2 linked regions of the Sus scrofa genome follow. The protein of the gene in region 1 purifies or fractionates together with the protein of each later gene. This does not show direct contact. Links are inferred from orthologs where the notes say so. Each region holds a gene or a part of one and is shown on either strand. Other genes may lie near its edges.

Region 1 (4,091 bases):
GGGGGTTGGGGTAGGTTCTGGCAAGACTCCTGCCTGGCCTCAAACCCATCTCAGTGCCCACAGTCCCCTGGGCACCCTCAGCTCCACCTCTGAGGACAAAGGCTTTACCTAAGCAGGGAACAGGCCAGGGGCCTGACAGCGCACAGCCTAATCCAGATATAAACTGCTGAGCCCAGCTTGGAACCAGTGGTCTGCAAGAAGCCCAGACTCCTAGGGGGCCACCAGTAGCCCCTAGCCCCCTCCCCCACCGCCCCACCTCCTTGCTGTGGTCTGCAAAGAGAAACGACTCTGGCCCTGCATGGGATGCCACACCCCATGGCCAGTGTCAGGATGGCAGGGCAAGAGGCCAGCTGGCTCCTGGGCCACACAGCAGCACCAAGAAGCAAGTCAAAGCCAGGGTGGGGCAGGCGGCAGGTATCCCCACACCCTGTACTCCATTCTGCCTCTTTTCCTCCCACACCAGAGAGAAGCTGCAAGTGCTAGGCTGCCAGTACTAGGGCAGAGCTCACCACCATGTGGGACTTTTGCAAGTGCTTGCATGATGCTGCAGAGCAGAGTAGGAGCTGCCTTCTTACTCCCCAAGTGCATGTGTGCTGCCGGGCCACGGGGGTTCAATCCAAAGGCCCCCTTTTCTGTCCCTTCCCAGGCTGAACGGCCCATCACCTGTGAGCTCCTCCATGCTGTGTACAGGGCCAAAGTAATTCTTGAGAGCGCTGTAGCTGTTGATGGCCACACTGAGGTAGAACTCAGGCATGAAGGCAAAGAGAGGACCCGTGCGGTCGCCATGCTCAATGGTCCGCAGGCAGACACGCAGCAGCCAATAGATGTCCTGCATCTTCTCCTGCGGGAGGCACACAGGGCGAGGGGGGCTGTTGAGGGGAAAGGTCATGGGGGCATGGCCCAGTCTGGGGATTAGCAAAGGCCTCCCAGGAACATGCCATGAGAACTAAGAACTGGATTCTAGGAAGCAGGAGCAGTGGCACAGGTAGGGGTGATTGAGTACCACACTGGGGGATCAAGAAGAGCCACCCAGCCTGGACAGGGCAGCACTACCACCTGGAATAAACCAGAACTCTGGTTTGCATATCTGTAAGACACACAAGTTTTTAATCAAGAAGGTACTGTATGACCAGAAGCCTGGGTTGCAACACTGCCCAGATCAGAAGGGGCTGCAGGGGCAAGTGAGGACAAGGCAGTGACAAAGCTACAGCCTCATCTGGGCCTGAGACAGCAGAGGGATGGGGTGTCCAGGAATGGGGATGCACCACTGGGCTGCTGGGGCAAGGGAACGGTTACCACAAGAGTGGGGCCCACATTTCAGAAAGGGGATGGGGTCTCCGTGGAGGTCACAGGCCTGGAGGAGAAGCAGGCCTGATGAGGGGCAGAGGGGATGTGGCTTAGGACATGGGAGGCATGAGGTGCCTAGCTGCCCCAAAGCAGTGATGTTGAGGAGGCAAGTATAAATTTGGTCTGGAGCTCAAAGGAGAAGGTGCTGTGAAATCCAGAGGCAGCGTGCCCGCTGGTGGAACAGAGGCCACAATAAGCAGATAAAACCTGCCAAGGGCACTGTTCCACACTGTATGGTTTCTAGACAGTCTATCAGGATCCCACATAAGGGCCCAGGAGGGGTCACCAACAAGAATGAGGCCCTAGACCCCAGTCCAGGCCCAGAGCACCCACATCTCTTAAAAAGCATCTGCACTTTCCACCAACTCTCTGATGTGATCTCAAACCTGGGAGCCTGGGAAGATGTAAGCAAGAAATCAGAGTGGGCCTGAGCCCAGGTGTGCACAAGGGCCATGGGCCAGGAGGCCTGCGGGAAGCCGGCACCAGAAGGCCAAGAATCTGAGGAGGGGATGGCCAAGGGCCACTGTAATGGGAGAGGAGGTGTGTCCACAAAGGGAGGGGGGAGCTCAACAGACACGCTGCAAGACTCTCAGAGAAGCAGAGGAGCCTGAGCTGGGCCACAAGTGAGGGAAGATGAGGAAGGCAAGTCACAAGGAAGGGAGAGAGTGGGTGCTGTGAGCAGATGCAGAGTCAGGGAAAGGCACCAGGGACTTTTACTAATGGGAGAAACTAAATGAGCAGGAGGCAAAAGTGTAAGCACTTAAGATGCAGAAGCAAAAAAGGCAGTTCAACATGATAGAGGCTGCAGTGTGAAAGGTTCACAGCTAACATCATACTTAATGGTCAAAGAATGATAGGCTTCCCACTAAGCTCAAGAACAAGACAAGGCTATCTGCTTTCACCACTTCTTTCAATACAGTATTGGGAGTTCTAGCCGGAATTAGGAAAGAAAAAGTAGTAAAAAGCATATACATTAGAAAGGAGGGAGTAAAATTATCTGTTTGCAAATGACATGATCTCATACAGAGAACAAACACCCTAAAGATTCCACAAAAAGAAACAAAAATAAAAATAAACAAGTGGGACCTAATTAAACTTACAAGCATTTGCACAGCAAAGGAAACCATAAACAAAAAAGAGAACCTACAGATTAGAAGAAAATATTTGCAAATGATGCAACCCAGAAGCGTTTAATCTCCAAAATATACAAACAGCTCATACAACTCAACAACAAAAAACAAACAGTCCAGTTGAAAAATGGGCAGAAAACTAACCAGAAGTTTCTCCAAAGAAGACATATGGATGGCCAGCAGGCACGTGAAAGACGTTCAACACTGCTAATTGTTAGAGAACAGCAAATCGCAAAACTACAGTGAGGTACCACCTCACACTAGACAGAATGGCCATCATAGTAATGGTCTACAAATAACAAACGCTGGAGAGGGTGTGGGGAAAAGGGAACCCTCCCACGCTTTTGGTGGGAATGTAAATTGGTACAACCACTATGGAAAACAGTATAAAGAAGTTCCCACTGTGGCACAGTGGGTTAAGAATCTGACTGCAGTGGTTCAGGCCACTGTGGAGGTGCGGGTTTGATTCCTGGCGGGTGCAGTGGGTTAAAGGATCCAGCATTGCTGCAGATGTAGCATGGATTCAATCCCTGGCTGGGGAACTCCCACATGCCATGGGTGTGACCATAAAAAAAAACCCAGAAAACAAAGGAAGCTCCTCTGAAAACTAAAAATACGATCTAGTAATCTTACTCCTCAGGATATATCCAGACAAAACTATAATTCGGAACAATACATGCAGCCCCTATGCTCATATCAGCACTATTCACAGTATCTTCCTTTTTTGGGGGGAGGGGCTGCACCTGTGGCATATGGAAGTTCCTGGGCCAAGGACTGAACCCCTGCCACAGCAGCAACCTAAGTCACTCAGTGATAGCACTGTATCCCTAACTTGCTGTACCACAAGAGAACTCCAGAACTATTCACAACAGCCAAGACATGCGAACAACCTAAATGTCCATCAACAGATGAATGGATTTAAAAGATGTGAGACAGCTGGAGTTCCCATCATGGCGCAGCGGAAACAAATCTGACTAGGAACCATGAGGTGGCAGGTTCGACCCGGGCCTCATTCAGTGGGTTAAGGATCCAGTATTGCCATGAGCTGTGGTGTAGGTAGCAGATGCGTCTCGGATCCCGCATTGCTGTGACTCTGGTGTAGGCTGGCAGCTACAGCTCCGATTGGACCCTTAGCCTGGGAACCCACATATGCCATGGGTACGGCCCTGAAAAGACAAAAAAAAAGAAAGAAAAGAAAATGCGGTACATATGTACAATGTAATACTACTCTGCCATTAAAAAAAAAATGCCATTCACAACAACATGGATGCAACTAGAGACTATTATACTAAGTGAAATCAGAAAAAGAAAGACAAAAACAATATGATATCACTTATATACTTATATATAGATTCTAAAATATGGCACAAGTGAACCTATCTACAAAATAGAGACTCGCAGACATACAGAACAGACTTGTGGTTGCCAAGGGGGAGAGGGGAAGGAGTGCCATGGATTAGGAGTTTGGGGTTAGTGGGATAGAAAGTATTCATTTAGAATGAATAAGCAACAAGGTCTTACTATATAGCACAGGGAACTAGATCCAATCTCCTGGGAGAGACCATAACGGAAAATATTACTTAAGAAACGTCTATATGTATGACTCACTTTGCT
Region 2 (3,115 bases), on another chromosome or scaffold:
GGACGCAGGTTCGATCCCTGGCCTTGCTCCGTGGGTGAAGGATCCGGTATTGCTATGAGCTGCGGTGTAGGTCGCAGATGTGGTTCGGATCCAGCACTGCTGTGGCTGTGGCGTAGGCTGGCAGGTGTAGCTCTGATTCATCCCCTAGCCTGGGAACCTCCATATGCCTCGGGTGCGGCCCTAAAAAGCAAAAAAAAAAAAAAACCAAAAAACCACTAGAAAAGGAGAGAGGAGAAGGTCTCCTGACCGTGGGACCAGCGGGCCCTCCTCCAGGACTCAGGAACGTTCAGCTGCTTCAAGAGCAGGACGTGTGTTCACCGAGGGGAGAAGGCAGCGGAGTCTGCACAGTGACGGGATCAGCGTGCGGGGAAGAAGCGCCTGGATGAGAGGAGGACAACTGCGGGCAGAGGGGCCGACGGCGGGCAACTGCTGGAAGCAGACTGGCCTCTGAGGTCAGGCAAAGGGCCAGGCAGGCAGGAGCACCTGTGCCCGCTGGGAGGCTGCTCCTGGGGGGCCAGGGACCAGGGCTCTGAGCCGCTGTGGACGTGCGCCACCTTCCTGGTGAACGGGCTCAGCACACTCACGGCCGCCTGGTAAGCCCTGCCTGAAGCAGGCGGCCTAGAGAAACCCTCCCGCGGGCCACGGAGGGCGCAGGGCAGCCGGGCAGGCAAGGAACCAGCAGGTGCCATGGCCGCAGAGCAGAGCGGCCAGTCCTGGCACCGCCTTGCGATGAAGTTCTCTAGAACAGAGGCCCGGCCGGAGCGGAGCCTGCCTGGAACACAGAGGCAGCGACCAGCCTCGGGCAGCAGGGCCCGGGGGAGGCTCTCGGGCCACTCACAGCGGGGGGAGGGGAGCCCCTGGGGCCTGGGCTGCGCTGGCTTTTAAAAATCCGGGTTTTTTAAGCTGAACAGCAGGTACCGGTTGCTGGTTTTATTATTCTCTTTAAGCATAACACTCTTAAAGGCACAGACCCTTCCGTACGTATACACATCACAGTCGAAAAAAATGCCACGGGAACGCCTCACAGGAGTAAGAGCCAGTCAACCAACAGGCCCTCAAGCTCGGCCCTACCCTGCGTTGCTGTCTACACTGCCGGCCTGGATCATCCACTTTAACTGGTTTATCAAAGCTTGAACAGAGCCACCGCATAGGCGGCTGTCCCACTGCGAGCAGGGCCCAATCTCCGGGCCCCACGCGGCACTCGTGGCAGGAGCTACCGGGGGTGGTGACGGCAATATCAGCAGGGCCATCTGTGCGGTGGCTGCCGGGCCCGCCCGAACCAGCAGAGAGAAGGCACACACCTAGTAACGTCTTGGGGTTGGTCAGGCCCAGCTGCACCACGGGGTTGTCCAGGATGGCCTGAAAGAGGGGACTCTCGGGGTCGATGCCCTGGTCCAGCTCCTCGGGAGAGGGCTTGCGGTCTCCCAGCAGCCACTCGCACTGCGGACAGAGGGCGGCAGCCGTTAGTGTCCCCGGACCCCCTCCGACCCCAAGCGCTGCAGCTGGAGCTCCCGGCCGGCTCCCAGGGTGGTCTTCTCGGCAGGCAGCCCACCCGGCCAGCGAACGGGATGGGGAGAGGAACTAAGAACGCTGGGCTCTGCTGCGGGGAAGCGGCCGGGCAGGACTGGGCGTCCCCCAGGTCCAGGCCTCTCTGTCTCCCAACTGCTTGGCCACTGCCCGGCTCTGACCCCGCAAGTGGGCGAAGCTGCCGCCCCAGCCCCTCCCGGGCAGCTCCCCGCCGCGCTGGGCACGGGTCCATCCTGGCGCTAGTGGAACGAAGTCCACCAACCCGTCCCTCAGCCCCAGCACCGCGCTTGGCTTCTGAGGGCAAAGCGAGAACCTCCCGGGGCCCGAGAGCTCGGCGCCGCCGCCCACCTGGCGCCCTGCCTGCCGCAAAGCCCAGGGCACCCGCCGCCGGCGCCCGGCGGTGTTACTCACGGCGGCGTTCTGCTGGTTGTTGTTCACCCGGAGGGCGTCCATCACCTCCTTCTCGTCGAAGCCCATCTCCATCAGGGAGACGACGGCCTGGGGAGAAGGCACCGGCTGAGGCCGCGCCCGGAAGCGTCTGGGCGCTTGGCAGAGGCTGGGTTAAAACGCCGCCGGGGCTGCTCTCCGAAAACCCTTTCCCTACGGCCTCGGCCGCACGCTTCCTGGTTTTCTGAACCACAGGGAGACGCAGCGCCGAGGTGAGGGTCTGCCTGCCGCCCAGAGGCGGGCGGGCGGACGGGCCGCGGGTCCCCCTGGGGCAGCCCCGGCTCTGCGGGCACAACGGCCTTCACTCGATCCAGGGCGAGTGTCGGGGAAAAGGGGCGCACGAGCAATTCCGTTTCAGTGCAGACAAAACGCCCGTCATTTTCATAAGAAACAGCATTTTCAGAGTTCCTGTCAGGGCTCAGTGGCAAGGAACCTGACTAGCATCCATGAGGATGCAGGTTCGATCCCCGGCCTCGCTCCGTGGGTTAAGGACCCGGCGTTGCCGTGAGCTGGGGTGCAGGTCGCAGACGCGGCTGTGGCTATGGTGCAGGCCAGTGGCTACAGCTCCAATTCGACCCCTGCTGGAAACCTCCATATGCCGCAGGCGCAGCCCTAAAAGACAGAGAAAAAAAAGAAAAAGGTTTCCTTCACATTTTATCTTTAAAAACGGAAACTAAGATTAATGCTAAACGCAATTAATGAGATTTAAGCATAAACACGTGCTAATTTTTGGAAGGAACAATGACCCCATGTCCAACGTTTGGGGGTTGGACGGATGTACGTTTTCAGGACAAAAAATCCCCAACAGGACAACACACCCTTCGCTTTGCCCCGACTTTAGCGCACAATCTCTGAAAGGGTCGGCTCTGCACAAAAAGGTAACAGATTTTTCAAAGCCTCTCGGGCTTCTCTGAACTCTCGGCAGCTCACACCACGCGATTTAAGCCTCTGCCACCTTCTGTCCTCGACCGCTCACAGTGGGGGCTGTGGGCGCTGCCAGCCCAGGGTCGGCGTGTGGACACCGCACAGCCCCGTGCTCTGACCTCACCCCCCTTTGGTGGACGTGTGCGGCCAGCCTGCAGGCCGCCTGACTGCTGCTCGGAGGGCCCAACACAGCCGCCGCCAGCTGCGGGCGGGGGCC

The links. Proteins that work in one complex are often made in the same cells at the same time.
Region 2: the proteins of RNF123 (region 1) and UBAC1 purify together in Homo sapiens (affinity purification with mass spectrometry; 7 studies listed by BioGRID and IntAct, counting the BioPlex papers as one, with this or other methods). This does not show direct contact. The link is inferred for Sus scrofa from reciprocal best matches to the Homo sapiens genes RNF123 and UBAC1.

What each region holds. Positions count from the first base shown.
Region 1 is NC_010455.5:32,238,929-32,243,019, reverse strand, and holds part of RNF123 (E3 ubiquitin-protein ligase RNF123), read right to left. Parts: intron 842-4,091; coding exon 664-841; intron 1-663. UniProt on the Homo sapiens protein: Catalytic subunit of the KPC complex that acts as E3 ubiquitin-protein ligase. Promotes the ubiquitination and proteasome-mediated degradation of CDKN1B which is the cyclin-dependent kinase inhibitor at the G0-G1 transition of the cell cycle.
Region 2 is NW_018084833.1:1,669,660-1,672,774, reverse strand, and holds the end of UBAC1 (ubiquitin-associated domain-containing protein 1), read right to left. Parts: intron 2,026-3,115; coding exon 1,939-2,025; intron 1,441-1,938; coding exon 991-1,440; 3' UTR 895-990; downstream 1-894.